2 linked regions of the Canis lupus familiaris genome follow. The protein of the gene in region 2 purifies or fractionates together with the protein of the main gene of each other region. This does not show direct contact. Links are inferred from orthologs where the notes say so. Each region holds a gene or a part of one and is shown on either strand. Other genes may lie near its edges.

Evidence for each region.
Region 1: the proteins of histone H1.4-like (region 2) and LARP7 purify together in Homo sapiens (affinity purification with mass spectrometry; 3 studies listed by BioGRID and IntAct, with this or other methods). This does not show direct contact. The link is inferred for Canis lupus familiaris from reciprocal best matches to the Homo sapiens genes H1-4 and LARP7.

The regions. Positions count from the first base shown.
Region 1 is NC_049253.1:7,460,813-7,472,549, reverse strand, and holds the start of LARP7 (la-related protein 7), read left to right. Parts: upstream 1-3,996; 5' UTR 3,997-4,174; intron 4,175-4,347; exon of another isoform or gene 4,348-4,556; intron 4,557-9,169; 5' UTR 9,170-9,171; coding exon 9,172-9,370; intron 9,371-9,819; coding exon 9,820-9,920; intron 9,921-9,991; coding exon 9,992-10,075; intron 10,076-10,227; coding exon 10,228-10,392; intron 10,393-10,481; coding exon 10,482-10,575; intron 10,576-10,650; coding exon 10,651-11,001; intron 11,002-11,077; coding exon 11,078-11,222; intron 11,223-11,261; exon of another isoform or gene 11,262-11,329; intron 11,330-11,389; exon of another isoform or gene 11,390-11,459; intron 11,460-11,566; exon of another isoform or gene 11,567-11,635; intron 11,636-11,723; exon of another isoform or gene 11,724-11,737. Other genes in the region: protein ZGRF1, read right to left, coding at 814-834. UniProt on the Homo sapiens protein: RNA-binding protein that specifically binds distinct small nuclear RNA (snRNAs) and regulates their processing and function.
Region 2 is NC_049256.1:25,567,322-25,578,351, reverse strand, and holds histone H1.4-like, read right to left. Parts: upstream 4,530-11,030; 5' UTR 4,473-4,529; coding exon 3,825-4,472; 3' UTR 3,015-3,824; downstream 1-3,014. Other genes in the region: histone H2B type 1-M, read right to left, coding at 2,590-2,970; H4C4 (H4 clustered histone 4), read left to right, coding at 8,350-8,661. UniProt on the Homo sapiens protein: Histone H1 protein binds to linker DNA between nucleosomes forming the macromolecular structure known as the chromatin fiber. Histones H1 are necessary for the condensation of nucleosome chains into higher-order structured fibers.

The sequences.
Region 1 (11,737 bases), on a different chromosome or scaffold from region 2:
CACATAAAATTTAAGGAGAAAACTGAAAACTAAACAAAAAAAATAATTTGGGGCTTCTCGGTCATCAGTGGGAAGGAAAAAATCTGTTGGGTTACACATAGTCATAATCTATACTCAAAATGTAGTCCAGAGACTCCTAGAGATTTCCAAGACTTTTTTCAGGGGTCTTAAGGTCAAAACTATTTTCTTGATGCTATTTGTCTTTTTACTCTCATTTCTTTGGGAATGCATAGTCATCTCCCAGGGTTATGTAGGTGCAATGTTGCAAGATTCAATTTCAGACTGAATGCAGGGGTGGATCTAAGAATTTAGCTGTGTTCTATGAAATCAAATGCTAAGGGGATTTGCAAAAAAATGTATATAGCAATGCTACTCTTTTCAGTGTGTTTTTTTCTGTTGTTGTTTTGGAAAATATAGCTATTTCCATTTAAAAAGTGATTTATGTTCAATATAACAGGCTATTTTTAATGAATTAACAAATACTTTTTATATTTGTTATAATTTCTCATATGAAAGACATCAATAGATATAAGCCCCATAATCAAAATTCTCTGGGGTAATATTTTGAGTATGGGGATCCCTGGGTGGCTCAGCGGTTTAGCGCCACCTTCAGCCCAGGGCATGATCCTGGAGACCCGGAAATGAGTCAGCCCTGTATGGAGCCTGCTTCTCCCTCTGCCTGTGTCTCTGCCTTTCTCTCTCTCTCTCTCTCTCTCTGTCTCATGAATAAATAAAATCTTTAAAAAAAATTTTTTTAAATAGAGGATTAAAAAAAGAAATAAAGGAAATAGTGAAAACTGGTATACAACTCACAATAAATTCCTGGCTTTCCATTATTTCTTCTAAAATTATAAATCAGTCTGGTCCAGAATATAGTCGTGGTTATTCAATTATTTATATGATCTAAAATGAAAATAGACAAGAAATATCCAACTCTGATGAAAATAATATCAAATTCAACTGTTTCCTATAAACTCTTTTTTTTCCCCATAAACTCTTGACATGAGAAAGGAATAAGAATTCTAAGACTGGGGATCCCTGGGTGGCGCAGCGGTTTGGCGCCTGCCTTTGGCCCAGGGCGCGATCCTGGAGACCCGGGATCGAATCCCATGTCGGGCTCCTGGTGCATGGAGCCTGCTTCTCCCTCTGCCTGTGTCTCTGCCTCTATCTCTCTCTCTCTGTGACTATCATGAATAAATAAATAAAATATTAAAAAAAAAAAAAAAAGAATTCTAAGACTATGTGACTACCAAGGGAAACCCAGGTGTAATCAAATTATCTGATACTAAGCACACAATAAAAAAGTGACCCCATCCTGTGGAAAATGAATTTGCCAAGTAAAGAGAAAACTAAGTAAAATATATGAAATAATTAGCAGTGTGCAAAGCTCTTTTCCAAGTGCCCTAACATGCATCAGAAAATGATCCCTCTTCCCCCAACATTTAAATTCCTTATGGAAAGAGCTTCAACTTCCCATTTTCTGAAATGCCACGGCCACCACAAGACAGCCCCCCTTGTGTTTTGAATTTTTCCTTTTATGTCTTTAAGTCAATACATCACAGTATCCAAGGACCTAATACACAAATTTCCTGTGTGAGGAACATTCTTTTCAGTATCATTGCAACAAGTACTGTATTTATCCTATGCTACTAGATAAAACTGTTATTGTGGGCAAATTTGGAAATCTAAATCTACTGTTGGTGAACTGAAGAAGTAAACAGAGATCCCAAAGAAAAAAAAAATTTTCTAAAGAAGTGGTTTCAAAGATAGGATTCCTGGACCAATAGCATCAGGACCACCTGGTAACTAGTTAGAAATTCAAGTTCTTGGGTCCTACACCTGACCTTTTAAATCAGAAAGTCTGAGGTTGGACCCATACTTTGTTTTAATATGCTCTGAAGGTGTTAGTGATACATGCTCAAGTTTGAGAACACAGGGCTAAAAGACCTAGGAGAGATTCAATAAAACCATAATTTACAATTCTGGATTCAATTCCCCCTTCATACATATACCACATACATATTATGTATAAATTACATATATTTATTTAGTACTTGCCAGACACCTAGGTTGAGGTACTAAAATGAACAAATACAATTCCTAATCAAGGCATTCTCAGTAAAGCATGTTGATAAACAGTATTTACAATAAAACATGACAGAAATAAGCATAGGAGGGGCACCCAAATGGGTCTATGGAATCAAATAAGGCTTCCCCCTAAGAATGTAATGTCTAAGCTGTAAACTGAAATAACCATAACCAAAAGAAGATGCCAGGAATGTATTTCCAAAAAGGAATCAATGTATAAGGTCCTGTGAAAGACACACCAAGGCATGACCAAGGAATTCAGTTCAATTAAGGGGTCAAGTTAAGACAATGAATAGTGAGTGAGAGAGAAGATTGAAAAAAATGAGCAATAGGAGTCAGAGGGCCTTCTATGCTATGCCAAGTTGTTTGAATTTTCTATAAAGGGAGTGCAAATGGTAGGGTTTTAAGAATAAGATTACATAATCTAACTTGGGTTTTACAAAGATCGCTCTGGTTGCTGATAGGAGGCATAAGGGAGGGTAGCCCTGGTGGCGCAGCGGTTTAGCGCTGCCTGCAGCCTGGGGTGTGATCCTGGAGACCTGGGGTCGAGTCCCACGTTGGGCTCCCTGCAAGGGGCTTGCTTCTCCCTCTGCCTGCATCTCTGCCTCTCTCTCTGTGTGCTCTCATGAATAAATAAATAAAATCTTTAAAAAATAAAATACTAAAATCTTTAGAAGAGGCCTAAGTCCTACGTTCAAAGGAGTAAAAAAAAAAAAAAACAAAGGAGTTAAAATACCGTTTACCGTTAAATAGTTGAAATGGTATCAGCTAACAACATGGCATTTAAGTGAAAAGTAAAAACAAAAAAGAAAAAAAGAAAAAATCTGGGGACGCCTGAGTGGTTCAGCCCTTGAGTAGACCTCGGCCTCCCGCTCAGGGCGTGATCCCGGATCCAGTCCCGCGTCGGGCTCCCTGCATGGAGCCTGCTTCTCCCTCTGCCCGTGTCTCTCTCTGCCTCTCTCTCTCTCTCTCTCTCTGTGTGTGTCTCTCATGAATAAATAAATAAAATCTTTAAGAAAAATTTTTTTTCTAAAAATCATCTACGTCAAATGTTGACCCACCTCCAACGGGTAAAAGTTCAACGTGCAAAGTTTTAAAAGCGGTAGGGATACCTCAGATGTCTGCAATAATTATATAACCACAGATGTGCACATTACCTCCCCAAAGACATTACCCATACGTCCCTATGCTGCTTTATACATTCATATATAAAATTCTGTGTTCTCCATAAAATATGAACCAGTCTTATTTATGTTTAAGTACGAGGAGATGTTTTTGGTCTTTTTATTTTGGAACAAGCAAGATCTTTAGAATCCCTAAATAGTTCAGATTTAAAAGTTCCAGAGTCTCAAACCCAGTATCCTGTTAAGAAGTCGCTCAGTCCAAATGACCCAGAGAAGCCCACATTTCATTGCCAAGATAATAATTACCATGATTCTGTGTAACCGAATGGCAGTGAGACTTGACCCTCTGTCAGGCCTAGATAAACACAAAGAGCAAAACTCTCTCTGGTCCTTACACTTATTGCCGGAAGTGCAACGCAGAGGCTGGAAAGGCTGTCACTCCCCACACCTGGTTCCAAACAGCACCAGCAACGGCTCGCTTCCGGCGCAATAGAGCCTCTCAACACTTTGCCCTAAATTGCGACGCCGCCTCTCGTTCACATCCCCTTTCCTATCCACCTTCACTCCCAGAGAAGCAGAGGACTTCACCGGTCCGTAAAACACACGTTCGAATTTCTCCCGCGGAAGGCTGTGACGTCATCAACCCGGGACCGCACGGGATCAGGACCCACTACTCAGCCCGCCCACAAGTACCGACGTTTGCAAACCGCCAATCAAAACTTCTCGTGGTCTGTGAGCCTCCTCGGCCAGCCGGGTAACCCGACGCCCCGCCCCTTGCGCCAGCTCACGCCCGTGACGCAAGCGCCGGGCGCGCCGTCTCCGTCCTCGCGCTCGCCTTTTCGGAGGCGTACGGGAGAACCGTGTCGCCCACCCTATGACGCGGAAACCAGCTCTATAAGGATCTGGAGACGGAAAGGTTGGAGGACGAAATCACCGGCCCAGTATTTTGGGAACTGGACAGAGTAAGTTGGAAGTAAACTGTAGATCGTGTCGCTCAGGTTGAGTGAGGCTTCAAGTCTTCTAAGTCCTTTGTCACGCGCTCCATTCTATCATCTGTCGGCCCTTTCACTTCGTCCCCTCCCACAAGCCCATCGGTTTGCTCGTCCTGTTCCTCTGCGCACGCGCAAAGGTCCTTCAGCGGCCCTTGTAGTTCCAGTTTTCGGAGATTGGGGGCGCATATCGTCCGGCTTTAGGAGATCGGGGGCCCGCCCGGTATTGGGCAGCGTACTTGGGAAAGGACTGGTGTCGACGGGGGGCCGTAGCCAGAGGTGAAATCGCCGGGCCTCGTAGATGTGAGCGTTGGCGGCCAAACGATAGCGAGTGTGAGCACTTAAGTTTTTAAAGTTAAGTCACTTTCTTATTTTCGGGATTCTAGTTTTTGTCATCAGAGAATCGAAAAATCCAGTTACGGAAGGGAGCTAACAAATTATAAATGTCAGTGGAGTGTACTGAATGCGTTAATAAATGTGCTTGAGGGAAAATAGATGAGGAGGCAATAAATTAGGGGAGACGTGGTGGTGGAAAGCTGGAGAGAGTAAGATGCCATTTAACGTGGGCCTTGAAAATTGAATAGGAGTTTATAAGGCAAGTAAAGACAAGACTAATTGAAAGAACAGGCACGGTGTTCTGGTACCGTTGAATGGTCAGCCATGGTAGAACAATGACTTAACGTTTTTGACACCGTTTCCTCTAAAAATGGTAAAGGCTATGGATGAGCATCCTAGGAAGATGCATGCACGTCAAGACATTTTACGTATGATTTTGCTGGGAAATTGTGGAACACCTTGAAATGGCCAAGAAAAAAGATACTGGATGTCTTCTCTAGCTGGCTCTTCCAGGTTCTCTCTTTCATTATCATTGAGCTATTTTACATTTGTGTTAGTTGTAGGAAACGATTATAATGGAACTTAAGTCTTGTAGTTAATCAATTTTGTAGTTATGGCCCTAACCAGTTTTGCATCTATTAACAAATTCATTTCAGTGTTCCTGATTGCTTAGATCTTTTAATTCTCCTTTGAACTAGTTTTTTAATAGAATATTTTAAAATTTATTATTTATTTACTCTATTTTAAGTAGACCCCATGCCCAATATGGGCCTTGAACTCTCAACCCCGGGATTGAGTCGCGTGTTCTACTGACTGAGCCAGCCAAGTGTCCCCTCCAGAACTAGTTCTTTTGTTTTGTTTTTTTTTTTAAGATTTTATTTATTCATGAGAGACACGGTGAGAGAGGAAGAGACAGAGGGAGCAGGCTCCTTGCCGGGAGCCGAATGCGGGACTCCACCCCCAGACCCTGGATCACACCCTGAGCCAAAGGCAGAAGGCAGATGCTGAACCGTTGAGCCACCTAGGTGTCCCCTGAACTAGTTTTTTAACACTTAACTAATTCCTTGATTAATTTCACTAAAATAAAATATTTGATACGTATTCATTTTATGTTAATTTATATTTAAATTCCTTTGTTTAAAATTTCTCTTTTGGGGCACCTGGGTGGCTCAGCGGTTGAGCGTTTGCCTTTGGCTCAGGTGGTAACACCGGGTTCCTCAGAATGAGTCCCGGGTCGGTCTCCCCACAGGGAGTCTGCTTCTTCCTCTGCCTCTCTCTGTGTTTCTCATGAATAAATACATAAAATCTAAAATAATAATAATAATAAAATTTATCTTTCATCAATTTCACAGAATTCATAGGAATGTTTGAAACTCACCCAAAATTCCATAGACTTTAGGTTAAGAATATCTGGGTCAGAATACAGAATGTATCATGACAGGCTGTAAGAGGTTCTACTAAAAGGTGGGCAGTGTAAGGGAGTCAGACTTACCAGAGCTTGTTCACTTAACTGAGCATGTTTACCCAGCTGATTTTGGCCAATTCACTTAATTTTTAAGCCTCTGTAAAAAAGAATTTGAAAGGAACCACCTAATTGTGATTGTGAGGATTTAAAACAATATTTAAAGTAACTGGAATTGTTACACAGTACCTTTATTGTTTGTGTAAAAGCCCCTGTTTAGAAGCCAATTTGATGTCACTGATTCATCAACAATTTTTTAAACTTACATATTCTAAGAAGGTACTAAGGAATTTTTAATGTTGAAAAGTTTTAACATTAAAATTAAAAATTAGATCTGTGTTTTAGACAAGTTACACAGCTTATGAGGAGGATGAATGACTTCTAGAACGGTTTATAAATTGTTCCCATATTGTAGTGATACTCTTTGTGGAAAATATTGGAGGGAAATAAAAACCATTCCAGAAGTTAAATCGGTAGGACTTGGTGACAGATTGGTAAATGATAAAATAACGATAATGTTACATTTTGTCAAGTACGTGAGAAGGTAGACTCAGAGGATCAAGACTCACGAAAGTACTGCTATGTGACTTCTTGATTTTCATAGCCATTGCATTGGGAAGTGAAATTATACCATATCTTGTTACTTCTTGTATCTTTCTCTTATGTATGAAAATATATTTGATTATCTACAGGATATGTTTCTTAAGATCACAAATTACAGACAAATGTTAGGCACACTAGGCAAGAGTTTTAGAACTTAGTTTTTCAAGTCACGAAAGTAAACCTTAGAGGTCTCTGAGATGAGAGTGATGGAGAAAATCTGGTTTCGGGAAAAATTTGGACTTTCTGCATTTCTACAGTTCTGTCCACTATTTCCTTAGATAGTGGTTCTGACAAAAGGAATTGGAGAGCTGATAGTCTGTCCTTTACAATTTGGAGTTTTTGCAAAAGAGAAGGTTAGCATTGAATCCTCCTGTATTGATCATTTATAGCTTCTGTTTGTATTTTATTTATAATCCTACCCTTTTTTTTTAAGCCTGCCCCCTTTCAAAAGAACTTGAAATGCTAAACACTTTGTAATAGGAGGTCCTTTTAAATATAGTATTTAAGAAATGGTTGGATTGTGATTAAGCTTAAGTCTCTGCCTTTGTAGTTTTTGCATTCTAGTGGGGTAGACAGACAATAAAATTGTAATTCCAGGTAGCAACAAGAGGATACAAGGAAATAAAGTGGTAGGGTGCCTGGGTGGCTGCCTTTGGGTTGGGTTGTGGTCTCAGGGTCCTGGGATGGCCCCTGCCCTTATCAATGGGACTCCCTGCTTCCCCCTTGCTTGTGCTGTCTCTCATATTCTCTATCTCTAAATAAATAAAATCTTTTTTTTAAAGGATACAAAATTGTGGCAGATGGAATGGATAGGGTTAGGATTGGCAGAACAGAAATGTTTTTAGATTGAGTGAAAGGCCTCTTTGAGAAAGTGACATTTATAGAGACCTGAATGAACAGTGAAGTAATCCCTCCAGATGTGGGGAGGAGGGTGAAGAGAACAGCAAGAGCAAAGGACTTGGGGTGGGAATGGCCTTAGCATGTTTAAGGAATGGTATGTCATAGTTGGAGTGAGCCTGTTGGAAAGAATTGTAAGAAATGTAGTTAGATATCCCCAGGCCAGATCAAATAGTGCCAGGCAGGCCACAGTAAGGGCTTTGGATTTCGAGTATGATAAACCTTTGGAGGATTTTGTCCCAGAGATTGGCATGCTCTGATTTACATATTTAAATGATTGTTTTGGTTACTATCTGGAGAATTGATGGTAATTGATGAAAATGGAAGATAATGATTGATTGGAGAATTGATAATGGAAGAGTAGAAGCAAACACAAGTTACAGTGTTCTTGGAGGAGAGTAGGCAAGACATGATAGTGTGGACCAGGTGGTTGTGAAAATAGAAAGTATTCTTATTTAGGATATATTTTATAAAGTTAGAGCTAACATAAATGCTCCTAGATTTGTTGTGGCATATTAGGAAAAGAATTTCAGAATTTTACTCTCAGCAGTGTTATGATCAGTGTCTTCTGAGTTGGGAATACATGGCAAAAAAAATAGGTTTGAGTTGGGTTTTTGTTATTCTACATAAGAGAAACTCTTAAGATAAATAAGTGGAGATGTCAAATGAGCAATTGAGTGATGGAATGGGGGGCAGCAAATGGGAGAAGTCAGCTCTAGAAAATACAGATTTGTGAAACATCAGCATGGAGCTAAAAAGCTTAAAGCCAGAGACCCTCAGAAAGGATATGTGTGGAGATAAGATGGAAACCCAGGACTGAATAGCAAGTAAAGATAGAGCTAACTAGGATGGTCCAGTAAAGGAGATTAAGAAAACTCTCCTAGAAGCCAAATGAAGAAAAGGTTTTCAAGGAAGTTTAACTGCAGATGCCCCTGAGGGGTTCCAGTAGTCCATGGAGATCACGGGTTTCAATTCACTAGAATGGTGGAAAGAGAAGCCTGACAGAATGGGTTTAAGGGAGAATTTGGGTGAAAAATGGGATTACTCAGCACTAAATGACACTTGATTGGTTTTAACACTGGGATGGGAAAGGTCCCTTGGAAAAGAAAAACCCGCTTCTATAGCTTACCAGTTAAGTTCCGCTTCTAAACAGAAAAACAGTTAAGGGGCATCTGGCTGGCTCAGCCAGTAGAGCGTGGGAGTCTTGACCTGAGGGTTGTAAATTCAAGCCACATTTTGGATAAATTGCTGAAAAATAAGTTCTTTAAAAAAAATTTTTTTAAATAATCAGGAATAAATTATTTACTTGGAGTTTGAGATGGAGAATGTCTGAATCCCTTAATCTTACACTTTGACAGTTTGGATTAAAAGTGTAAAAGTTAAAGTGTAGTTTGGTGTAATACAGACATACTATATAGGAAGATAATCTGGCCCTGCAGTAAAAGTGCATCAAAAAGTAAAGCTAGGATTCAGAGGTAAAACAAGGAAAATGAAAAGTGACAATTAAGAGACTGAAGATGGGTCAAATGAAAATTTCCTTAACTGATTGCTAGGTGTTACCCCAAAGTTTGTCCTCTGCCAGCTGACAGTCTCTTAAGCTTTCGGACAATTAAAGGCTAATAATTATCTGAAAGTCTTCCTATATAAATTTACCTTTTTTCAATGAACAGGAATGGAAACTGAAGGTGGAAATCAAGAAAAGGCAATGGAAGAATGCACTGAAAAGAAAAAAGAAGTAGAAAAAAAGAAACGGTCACGAGTTAAACAAGTGCTGGCAGATATTGCTAAGCAAGTGGACTTCTGGTTTGGAGATGCAAATCTACACAAAGATAGATTTCTTCGAGAGCAAATAGAAAAGTCCAGAGACGGATGTAGGTTTATTTTACTGTACAACAAATGTTAACAATGTAGTATATATATTATGGTACACCACATATTATATACAGGATTAACTTTTATTTTCCCACGTAAAACCCTCATAAAGGACACGAATTTCCTTAAAGGACTTAGTGTAGGATGCAACAAATTCAGACCAAGATTTCAGTTACTTTGATAACATCCTAGTTTTTGTGGTGGAGCTCCTGGCAACTCAGGTAGACTCTTGACATCAGGGTCAATTTGAGCATTACTTTGGGCCTAGAAGTCCAGGGTTTTTCTTATGTGCTTACAGGTTTAATTCCTATGGGTTTTATGCATAAAGGCATTTTATTTACTCCAAAACCAAAACTTAGTTTAGGAGTGTGATTAATATTTTATCCAGAAGTCCTGGCTTGTTACTTTATTATATTCTGTAATGTATTAACTTTTGTATTTCTATTAGATGTTGATATATCACTTCTCGTGTCTTTCAACAAAATGAAAAAATTGACCACAGATGGAAAATTAATAGCCAGAGCACTAAAAAGCTCCTCTGTTGTAGAGGTAAGAATTGTTACACAATTTATTTTATCACATAATTATTAGTTTATTAACCTCATGTACCCATTTAAAAGCTGGACTTGGAAGGCACCAGAATCCGGAGGAAAAAGCCCCTGGGGGAACGACCAAAGGATGAGGATGAACGGACAGTGTATGTGGTAAGCCATTTTAAAAAAAAGCTCAGAGATAGTGATCACAGACAAAATTGACAGAAACACTTTAATATTACTAGTAAAAATTTATTAACCTTGAGGACTTGTAAAAATTTATTAACCTTGAGGACTTTACTATTGCTTCTAATTTATTGTAGGAATTACTTCCCAAAAATGTTAATCACAGCTGGATTGAAAGAGTATTTGGGAAATGTGGCAATGTTGTTTATATAAGCATACCACATTATAAATCTACTGGAGATCCAAAGGGATTTGCCTTTGTGGAATTTGAAACAAAAGAACAAGCAGCAAAAGCTATTGAGGTAGGTCCAGAACCTAAAAGGAAAAGCAAAAAAATTAGCGAGTACTTTTAGTGACAATTTAATTGGTTTTTAATTTATTGATTTTTCAGTTTCTCAACAACCCACCAGAAGAAGCACCAAGAAAACCTGGTGTATTTCCTAAGACAGTAAAAAATAAGCCCATTCCTGTCCTTAGAGTATCAGGTAATTTAATTCAATATTAATACTTAAGCATATGTAGTTGAAGGAAAATGAAAACTAATGATAGCATCGTTACAGAAGAAAAGAAAAAGAAGAAGAAGAAGAAAGGCCGAATGAAGAAGGAAGACAGTATCCAGACCAAAGAGTTAAATACGGACACAGATAAGGAGAGTGTTGCTAAAATGAAAAGATCGAGGACCACGTCTGAGGGATCAGAGGTAGAAATAACTGAACCCCAAAAGCCGCCCTCAAAGAAAAAGAAAAAACGGGAAAGACAAGAAGTATCCAGCCTACCTATAGTTAGAACAGGAAAGAGAAAGAGAAGTATTTCTGAAGAAGCAGAATCCCCAACTCCCAGGTCAAAAGTAAAGAAAGTGACTCAGAAAGACATTAAAAAAGAAGATTTAGAAGTTTCCAAAGAAAACAAAGGTATCAACAACATTTATCTTGAGCTTGTATAATCAAAGTTTTCTTAAACTTATGTCTTTCCTTTCTGGCATTTAAGATTTAGAAGTCTCTACTGAAGAGGAAAAGGATACTGGAGATGTGAAAGATGGATCCCTTTTAAAAGCAAAAAGGAAGCATAAGAAAAAACACAAAGAGAGGCACAAGATGGGAGAAGAAGTTATACCATTAAGAGTCCTTTCAAAGTAGGTAGACAATAGAGTTCTGGTGTAGATGGACACCCTCCATCACCATTGCTAAAGTGCAATTCCAATTTGTATTGAACAGAGTTGCATATTAGCAACAGTCATGGCATGTAGCCAAGATCTGCATAAATTATGGGATTAGGATGACTGAGGATTAAAAAGGAAACCACCACACTAAAACATGGAAGCACTTATTTTTATCATGTCACAGCAAGTGCCTCCATGTTAAAGTAGAGGGCGTTCCTTATAGACTCAAAAAAATACAGCGTAAGTATACCAGACAGGTAGTTCGGTGAGGCAGTCTTAAATATTTATAAACTTCTAAAATGTAAAAGTAAGACTTACCATCACTAAAACATGGAAGCACTTACTTTTTGAGTTTCAAAGCAAGTACATCCACGTTTAAGTGGTGGGGAGCCCAGTCTTGGAAAAACGTAAATTGTGAAGATTCTTTAACCTGTAAAGTAAGCTTAGAAATTAAGTCGTGTCCACTTGGAGACACCTCCACTGAAACA
Region 2 (11,030 bases):
TCATCAAATACCGAAAATTCACACATCATTCATAATAAACCTTTAAAAATATATTTAGAAGGAAACTAACCAACACACACAGATTATATACATATCCATGCATGCAAGCAAACAGGTTTTTAACAAGTCAGGAACTACTAAAGCCACTTTAGTGAAAAGGAAGAAAATGACGGTGATGCCTTAACATGGCATATAGCGTGTGACATTAACTAACACAATACCATGATAAAAATAGTTACAGAAATAGTTATTGGAAAAAATATCAAAGTTTCTGGTCTGCTAATGATAGTACTATATGTAACAGTCCATTAAATCATCACATATTGATTAGGTTTTGCAAAATTTGGTAATCAGATAGATATCAAGTGCATGTAAATAATCTATTTGCCAATTATCCTCCCACTCTCAGGAATTTATAACAGTGCTTCAGTCTATTGCCATCTAGCAGAACAGATTAGAAAACTAGCTTTACATTTGTTGGGAGAATTTATGGGGTTTGGTTCACAGTGTGACAGAGTGACGTCCGTTTTGGTGTATGAGTTTTACCCTATTTTATTGATTTTGAGTTACATGAGTAATCCATTAACTCTGAAAAATTCTCAGCCATGATCATTGGAAGCTCACACCAGCATCAATCTCTCTGGTTGTTCTTGTGGTGCCATGATTAGATACATGGCAGACAATTTTACTACTAATTCCAGATCTCTTAAACTCACTTTTACATTTCTCTCCCTGCATTTTGGATAAATAAGGTCTGCTTACAGAATTCATGAAAATTCTTCATCTGGAGCCTATTGATTTTTTTGGTCCATTTAGCAAGCCTTTAATTTTAATTTTCATATGATTAATGTAAATTAACGTGTATATCCACACCTTCATTTCTGGAAGTCGTATTTGGTTCTTTCGACTCTTTTTGGAAAATTCTTTGTATTCTTAATCCCTCAGCATATTTCACTTAGTGTTTTCCTTTTCCTTTTTAAAGATATTCAAGTTAGCAACTTGAAGTTTGTATCTGTTCATTTTCTTTTTACTCCTTTTGTTTCCACTGTGTGCTTCTCTTCTTGTTGGTTACATTGTCTTGTTGAATCCTGTGTTGATTTTGGTTGTGAAGCTGCTCTTTCATTTTCTTTGCTATCTTATGTGTGGAGGATTTGCTGAGACCAAAAATGAAGCTTATTCCTTCAGAGAGGATTTGTATTTGCCTTGAGCGGGTGCTCAGGGGTACAAAGCCAGCTTGGGAGATCTCAGAGTTAATCCTCAGCCTGGGTATTCCGAATCCCTGTGATGTCAGTGCCAGAAGCAAGTGAGTGGTGGTCGGAATTGTGGGTGGCACAATCTACCTTGCTCAGCACGGAGGGTGAGCACACACTGTTGCCATCTTCTGGGCGAGTGGGTGTGTGGGGGTGCCCATGTGCTGTCTGGTCGTGTGCTCATTTCTAGTTCATCCTTCTACCCTGAGGATGGAACCGGTGAGTGTGTCAGCTACACCTGGAAAGATAATCTCATCCGTTTTCTTGGGTGAACTCTCAACTGTTGACTGCTTACCCCCTGGCCAGTTCCTCCCAGCTCCCCAGCTTTTTCCCCCAGATTTCTTTTCCCCACAATAATCCATTCCCAGCAGCAGCAGAAACCCTTTATGCCATCTGACCTTGTGCAGCAGAAGCCACATCCTCCCGGGAAGGGCTTTCTTTCCCTTTCTACCTCCTCTCAGTCCTCGCCTCTCAGGGACACGGGGCAAGGGGCCAGGGGAGGAAAGGGGGCCTCAGTCCTGGGGTAACTTTTGCCTCTCCAGTCAGACACTTTATGGGATTGAGTAGTGGGCTTCTCTCTTGTGACCCTGGGGTCTTCCCAGCTAAGGATGCTGGAAGAAGACCGGCAATGCAATAGGACTTTGTAGGAGAGAAGCTATAGTAGCTGACAGGATTTGAAAGCCCTTCCAAGTCAGGACAGGTTCCCTTTCCTGTCTGTCTGCGCCTTTAGGATACAGCACAGACTCCTCCTCCCTGATCCCCACCCTACCTCCCCCACCAGCAGAAATGGGCATTATTGCAAAGCTAGCAAGCCAGAAAAGCCTGTGTAAGATTTCCATGAAAACTCATGTTGTCTTAAGCTCGTTTTCATTATTGCATATCTATATGCTGAAAAGGAAAAGAAAAGCTCTGAGCAAAACAGTTTTTACAGCATGCTTTGTGCTCTGGGGAAACCGTTCTTACCCAAGTCCTTGAATGTCACGATGAATTTGGAGCCTGCGCACAGGAAGGAGAGCTGTACACTTGAAATGGCATTTTCATTTAAAATTGAGGTTTAGTGTTGTGAAACTAAGGAATAATGGTTGTACAGAACCGGTTTTGGGCATAGCGAGCGCTCAATTTATGATGGGTATGGTTATCGACCGGGAATTGTGGCATCCTTGCTACGCAATCCTAAGAGAAAATTATAGAGCCGTAGCGATGTATCGATCTTAGAGTAAACTTGATTAGGGTGCATTTGAGAATAGTTTTTAGAAAGCATTATAGCTCATTTGTTGAAAGCATGCGTGGCTCTGAAAAGAGCCTTTGGGGTTGGGAAGGAGACGCTTACTTGGCACGTTTACTTGGAGCTGGTGTACTTGGTGACGGCCTTGGTGCCCTCGGACACGGCGTGCTTGGCCAGCTCCCCGGGCAGCAGCAGGCGCACGGCCGTCTGGATCTCCCTGGACGTGATGGTCGAGCGCTTGTTGTAATGCGCCAGGCGCGACGCCTCGCCCGCGATGCGCTCGAAGATGTCGTTGACGAACGAGTTCATGATGCCCATGGCCTTGGACGAGATGCCCGTGTCGGGGTGCACCTGCTTCAGCACCTTGTACACGTACACCGAGTAGCTCTCCTTGCGGCTGCGCTTGCGCTTCTTGCCGTCCTTCTTCTGCGCCTTGGTCACCGCCTTCTTGGAGCCCTTCTTCGGGGCCGGCGCGGACTTGGTGGGTTCTGGCATAGTGACCTTGAATACCACACGTTCAGTAAAGCGGGAGGAAAATATAAGCCACCGTAAGACCCCGTTTATTTATAGAGGAGGCATTCGAATGAGGTTAGTAAGATCATTTACGATTGGATTAATTTTACTGTGTCGTCACAAATACGAATGTAAAAGGTACTTGCAATTCTAGCGTTTCATTGGCTGCCTCGTTACTGTGCTTCGACCCAATCAGAAGGTCTAGACTTGGCTACCAAAGGTTACTATAAAGTCTTCTTCAACGCCAATATGTATTTTAACTTTGAGGTAGTGTAACGGAGAAGTGTGTGTGGACAGCTTTTGTTAGAAAACTTCCTCCACTAGGATGGGTGTTGCGCAGCGGAAGCCTGGTGGCCACTGGTGGCCAAACTGACGTCCTAGGTATTGGAGCTGGTGGGCAAGTGCTTGTTGAGGAGATGGCGCAATTCCATGATTAAGATAATGGAAAGACCATCGAGATACTTCATAGTTTTCTACCAATACAGTATAAAGATCCCCGGTGGCTGGAGAACTTTCTATTAAGTGGCAAATCGGTTTCAAAGTTCGTTTTGCAAGTAACTTCTCCCCTATGTATATTAGTCCTATTGCGCCGTGTGGACTACGGGCCAATTTAGGTTGAACCAGCGCACTTACCAGACTAGAGGAGAAATCATTGTCCCATTTGAAATCTCCCCAGGCCCGTGTGCACTTAACAGGCGCCCCTGTAGGTGCCGCTCCGGGCTCGCCAGTCTCCCCTCCCGCCACGCCCCCTTCCCCGCAGAGTGCCGCAGCTCTTTTCAGAGGTTTGGGTGGCTCTGAAAAGAGCCTTTAAAAAGATCCTAAACTACTCTGTATTCTTATTTCTTCTTGGCGGCCACTTTCTTGGGTTTGGCCGCCTTGGGCTTGGCTGCCTTGGGCTTCGGGGCTTTGGTCTTGGCCGGACTCTTGGCCGCCTTCTTGGGCTTGGCCGCCTTCGCCTTCTTGGGGCTCTTGGCCACCTTCTTGGCGACGGTGGCCGCGGCGGGCTTCTTAGCCTTCTTCGGAGTCTTCTTGGCGCTCTTCTTGGGGGTGCCGGTCCCCGCTGCCTTCTTGGGCTTCTTGGCCGTCCCCGCCGCCCGCTTGGGCTTGGCCGCGCCCGCCTTCTTGGCCTTGGGCTTGGCCTCCCCGGAGGCCGCCTTCTTGTTGAGCTTGAAGGAGCCCGAGGCGCCGGTGCCCTTGGTCTGCACCAGGGTCCCCTTGCTCACCAGGCTCTTGAGGCCCAGCTTGATGCGGCTGTTGTTCTTCTCCACGTCGTAGCCGGCGGCCGCCAGCGCCTTCTTGAGCGCGGCCAAGGAGAGGCCGTTGCGCTCCTTGGACGCGGCCACCGCCTTGGTGATGAGCTCGGACACCGGGGGCCCGGACGCCTTGCGCTTGGCTGCGCCGGCGGACTTGCGGGCCTTCTTCTTCACCGGCGTCTTCTCCGCGGGGGCCGGGGCTGGAGGCGCGGCAGGAGCGGTCTCGGACATAGTGGGTTTTGGTTCCTGAAGATGAAAGGAAAAAATAATATTAATCGAGTCTCGGAGTTGAGCTGCTTGGTTCGGCGTGCGTGTGTGCGTGTGTATATATACAACAAGGACGCCGCGCGCTGATTGGCTCCGAGCTCAGTCCTCCAACTTGACAGCAGCCTGGTGTCAGCTCTGTCCCGGAATTGTGTTTGTTACAGTTGGGGAAAGCAAAAAAATTAAAATTTCCTGGGGAGGAATCACGCTGATTACACTCTATAGCGAAGCGGGACCCCTCATGCTTTGACATCTTCGTGTTTTCTTCTTCCAGTTTTCATCATCTGGGTTTCAGCTCTTTTCAAAAGCCCCTGACACCCTGAGAGATTCACAGGTCAGAGAGACAACTTCTTGATTTTCCTTTAAAATATAAATTCTTCGCTTTGTGCTTTCAATAACTTGCTCTCTAGGGTTATTCTATACATTCTTGGCTTCTCATATGTTCAACAGCTGCTTAGTTCTCATCGAGATTTAGCCAGAAAACCTGTTTCATATGAAGGGAAATAACACAGGCTCTCTCCCCATTTCTCTACAAGAATGATAGTAAAGGATTCTTGGAAGAACTGCTAATTCTGACAAGAACGGTCATTATTTTGTCTGTAAAACCTTTATCATAGCTTCTAGTAACAATTTGCAGAGTTAGTTTGGGGTTTCTGCATTCAATATTTGTCTAGAAAAATGGGAAATGCAGCAAGTATGATGCTGCTGACCTGGTTGTTTGGCTTATGTTTGTTTTAGATGATGATAGGAGATTTAGAAGTGGCATAAGAGAAGTTGGGTACCTTTATTAGTTGAAAATATTATCTTATATTGATTTTCTTGGTAGAGATCAGTTACTAAAATGTGTACAAGTTTGGGTATAGAAATCTGCCATTCTTGAGAAAGAGAAATTTGGAAGGTATTAAAGTAACAAAGATTATATACATGCACAACACACACAGACATGCACACACTTATGGCATTCCCTTGAGAGGGGGACCTTTTTTAAAAGTGTGTTTTATATTCACTAGTATATTTTTCATTTATGGAAGGCATCACATTACAACTTATGCTTACTGTTGAATGGGAAATAGGTTTATGGTAGGAAGTGATTTAATGTGATTTTCTTCACAAATTCCTTTTTTCTCTTTAACATATTATATTTATTTTGAAACATGAACCAATCTGTGTTCCACTATGACAGTGAAAGAAGGAAACACAGCAAAGCTCAAGAGGGGGAAGGTTTCACTTTCCTTTATTATCCCCTCAAAATCAAGAAATGACTGATTATTCCTTTCAGTCAATCCAAGTGAAACATGAAAATTAATGTCACTATAGGTTAAATATTAACATGATAAAGAGGGGTGAGATATCAGCTTAGTATAAATAATTTTTACTTTGTGTATTCACTTTTTATAGAGCTTACATATTCTTAATTCTTTTAAAGTGGTTTTGAAAAAAAGTGGTTTTGATTCATTATAGTTGGTTTTGAAACTCATTTGAAGATTATTCTTTGATAATCTGATAATTATTCTTTGATAATTAATACTCCAGGAATTGCAGAGACATTGAGTCATAAGGCTGTGACAGTATTTAGTCCATACAAGAAATAGGAGAGTCAAGATTATACCCAAAGAGACGCAGTGCCACCAAGGAAGAGCTGTTTCTTGGACATGTCAGTGTAGGGAGTCTCTCCAAGGTACTACCCCTATCACCTTCATGGATGGGCTTATGAGTCACGTCAATGTGAGTAACTTCGAAGACTGTCTCTTCAAATTGGTCCTTTTGCCTAAATATCAAACTTGTATTTCTGGGCACTTGGTGGGTATTTGCCTTTGCACCTGTCTCCACTGTACTACACTCTCCCTATAATCTCTTTCCTGTTGCTAAGAGGAGAAAATTATTGCCATTTACCCTTACACACCTCCATCAGGTTACTATTACGTATTCATTTCATGCCAACATTCATGTCATTTCCTAATGCTTCTCTGTGCACATTTTCAAAACCCAGAGTCTTTCAAGGCTCTGAAGATCCCTTTGACCCTTCTTTGTTCATGTCAAGGGCTTCTTTATATATCTGATAAGGCTTATGGGCCCCTTGCCAGGACAATGTTTTTAAGAGTTTAAGAGAATATACATTGGATTATAATGGGAAAGAATTAATATTACAATACCTTTATCAAATCCCCAAACTGTAAAGTGTTAACAGATGTGTGTGGTTTCTTTTTAAAGATTTTATTTATTTATTTGTGAAAGACACACAGAGAGAGGCAGATACATATTCAGAGGGAGAAGCAGGCTCCCTGCCGGGAACCCAATGTGGGACTAGATCCCAGGACCCAGGCATCAGGCCATGAGCCAAAGGCAGATGCTCAACCACTTAGGCATCCTAACAGATGTGTTTTTTTATTAATCCGTTAGAGTCACAAGATAGCTCTTGTGAGCAAGAATGAACACAGTGTAGAAGGAATAAAGTGTCTAAATGGTCTTGAAAACACTGAGAGCTTCAGTTTAGGTGACATGCACACAGGACAGGTCCCGCCCATCGAAGTTTGCTGCCTATATTCGTAAATGGAAGAAATGCTAAGCTTCAATTGAGGGATAGTACAGATAAAGATGGACTTATGTTCTATACAAGTTCCTAGATGTCTTAAATCCTGTCATTGTATCAGAGAGTAAGAACACAAGTCGGGCATTTTTCCCATGCACCGCCCACAAACTCAGAAATCAGCTTTAATGAACTATGTCCTCCTCACAGACCCTTGGGGAGAAGCCAAATCCCCACAAAGTCAACTAGAACTCCACAAACGGATTAGTGCTGAATTCAATCTTTCAGTGCTTATTATTTTTAAGGAGTTCTGGAAAGAAAGTTGTAGGAAACTAGGATGCTCTGTTAGGCTCATTATTCCGAGGAGCGAATAGTGAGTGAAGGAGCAGAGAAACATCCACAATAATATATCATAATCATTTTGTGAGTGCATATTTGCGGATAGTAAACGCTTTACATGGGTTTTCCCTTTGAAAATTCAATGCTCTATGACTTAGACTTTCTTATACATTTGGAAAGGAAAAGAAGCGAGTATAGCCCGCCCGAGGTCCTGTAGGTAGCACGGCGGCAGGCTGTGTCCAGAGCCGCGTTCTAGGTCATGCCAAAGGCCGGAGCACCAGAACGTGGAGGCGGACACCGCGCTACCTGTAAGCTGTGCATAACTAAGTATACACTGAAGTCGCAGAGTGGAGACTCACAGCAGAACCAGGCTCTCCTCACTGTGGCATATGCTCAGCGCAGCCTTCAGTGTGGAACCTGACTTGACTTTGAAATGTTTAAGGCGATTCTGTCCGTTCCCTCCGCAGGGACCGGACAGCCTGCATCCCAGCCAGCCGCCCTCCGTAGGGACCGGACACCCATCGGTCGATAACACGAACAGAATCTTAGCAATACAGATAGGATTAGCTTCAAATTTTATTGAAAACCTCTCCTAGGGACAACAGCGAGGAGGATCTAAATATTTCTGCCCTTGTTTGGGAAATGTGAAGGACGAGGTCTTTGTGGAAAGCGTATGCATTGGTGCCCGGCATAGCGGGTGGCCGGCATAGAGGCTGCAAGTGCTGCAAGGCCATTGCACGGATCACATACTCGAGAGGATTTACGGAATCCCCTTCCCCCGGCACAGACTCCGCTTGGGGCGCCCGGCCTTCCGGGTCTGCACAGTCTGAGCAAAGGCTAGAAGGGCGATGGGCGGGAACGGAGTGTGGATCCGCCCCTGCGCTTGCGGTTTTCAAACAGGTCCGTCACATTGTTATAAAAGTGCGGCGTGGCGGCAGCCGGTAGTGCCGTGCAGGCTCGGGAGGTTCTGGTGTGGTCATGTCTGGTCGCGGCAAGGGCGGGAAGGGGCTGGGCAAGGGCGGCGCCAAGCGCCACCGCAAGGTGCTGCGCGACAACATCCAGGGCATCACCAAGCCCGCCATCCGGCGGCTGGCCCGGCGCGGCGGCGTCAAGCGCATCTCGGGCCTCATCTACGAGGAGACCCGCGGGGTGCTCAAGGTGTTCCTGGAGAACGTGATCCGGGACGCCGTCACCTACACGGAGCACGCCAAGCGCAAGACGGTCACGGCCATGGACGTGGTCTACGCGCTCAAGCGCCAGGGCCGCACCCTCTACGGCTTCGGCGGCTGAGTTGTGAGTTCAGCTCCAGGAAATCCCAGTTTGCAACCAAAGGCCCTTTTCAGGGCCACCTATCTAGTCTACAGAAAGAGGTGCTCACTTTGTACTATCGCTGTGAATTTCTTACTTCGGCAGACTACACCTAGTTGGGTCTCCATTCGCCCAGGCAACTGTGCTCCCATTCTAAATTTGACCCCTTCATGCCTGTCCGTCGTGAGGCATCCTGGGGGGGTGGGGGGGAGGACCTGTCCGCCTCTCCACTGAATTGCATCCAGAGGTTCTGATCTTCCTCCAAGACCACCTAACGTACACGTGCTATAGGTCCACTTAAAAGGTGCTTTAATCAAGTGCCTTCGTTTATTATCGGACAGAATCTTAGACTTCCGAGGTCCCTTCAGTTAACAGGTGATGATGGTTCTATGGTCTGCATGCAGCCTATCCTGACTGCGAGCCCAGGTTTTTAGGGTTTAAATCCCACCTTGCCTAGTATCAGCAGATTAGGGAAAAATTACGTTGGTTTTCTAGTGAGTTCCCGCTTTCTTGTTCTTAGGTTCTTTAAGCATGCCACAGACTGCCACTTTACCCCTGTATCCTTTGGTGTGATCCCAGTGTGTTTGGTTTTGTGGAGAGTCTTAGCTGTGTAGGCTGGCTTCCTCCACCCCCCCACCCCCGGCATTAAGATTGTTCACTTGAACAGAATAAACCATATAGCTGGGCCGGTGGCCTTGTAGCCTTAGGCAACATGTCCCCGCTTTCCTGGAACACAGGTAAGAATGTGGCTAAGAGCTGCAAAAGTCAGAAGTCACTCCCAGGTCTGGGCTTTCCCCTTTCCCACCAGGTAAGAAGGTGATCCAACAGTCCCTTGGCAGGGACATCAGGTCCCAGGGGATAGCAGAGCAATGACTTGAAGGGAAAAGGTCCTGGATTTATCAGGAGGAGCAGAGTTGCCCTTCAGAGGGGAACTGATCACGGTGGATCTGTCCTGTGTGACATGAATAACTCCTTAAAGTTAAAGCTTGAAAGTACGAACTGAATCTCACATGATTTGGGAGTAAATACAAGCAATGAGGAATTTATTTTCACCCTGATTCAGGAAGAAGTCATGAATTTTTCCTAAGGCCCACTGAAATGTCTTCCATTCACCCATCTGGGTAAATAACACTAACAAGGCCTCAGTATGTAGTAGTCTACTTTTTGAGCAAATCATAGGTTAAGTTTACAAGTTCCCAATATCATCTCAGGTATATATAAAATCTATGAAACTGGAAGCCTTGTACAGAGAGAGATTTGTGCTTGTGTTGTCTTTGGTTGAGTCACTTAACCTCTCTGTGTCTCCGTTGCCCCATCTGTAAAATGGGGAAAACAGTAGTATCGACCTTATAGGTTTGGGGTGAATAAAACCAAACCATTTTGTCCAGTGCATGGTGCACGGTAAGTGCTCTATGTTTTCTCTTTGATTATTATTGCTATTACTATTATCATTATTGCTCATGAAATTAGGCCCAGAGAAAAAGAAGGGGACCTATAAATTATGAATACATGCTCTTAAAGTCCTGACCTGTCTCCTTCTGTCTTTGTGGTCTGCAGCAAATCATTAACCACTCTCCATCATAAGTAACGTGAGGGTAAGTTAATACTTCTGTGACACTGAGCAGGATAGTGGAGGATGATTAACATGACCATATTGGACTTTACATGTTTTCCTGAGAAGTTGTGAGTGAAACGATGAACGATTTGTGGATGCAACCATAAAAACTCAATTCCAGTTTATTTAAGCAATGTAAAAAACTTTTGAAGGAGATGTTCTCCTACCACCCTGACAAAAGTGCTGAGCAGGCAGGACTTTCTGTTCTGTCCTGTTTTCTAGTTTCTAGGAAAGCAAATCTAACTGATCCAGCTGGAGAGGTGCCAGCATCAGTCATCCATGATGACCCAAGACAGAGAGGAACAACATAGTGCGGACACTTAAAGCCTAGGTAAGAGGGAATACTCCTGAAGCTGTCCCCCCGAAATCTGGGGGCAACTCTCTGTTACCTAGAATCCTAATTTCCAGTGAGATCCATTTATCATATGCAAAGGTCATTTTCCTCATCTCATACACATCACCATAGGTTGGCCATGTCCTCTTTCCTGACATACTCTTTTCTTGACTTTTGTGAGTCTATTCTCTTCATTCTCTTCCTCAGCATTTAGAATCTTTGGCTCCCTTCTTTTTCTCTGAAGTTTGAGTCATCCCTTATTCTTTCTCCATGGGTAAATACCAGCGTTAATGTGTGCCAAGCACAGTAAAATTGCCACTCCAAATATTTAAACATTTCTTTGTACAGTCCCAAAGTTGCCTCTGAATATCAGGTTCATATCTACAACTACTTACTTGACCC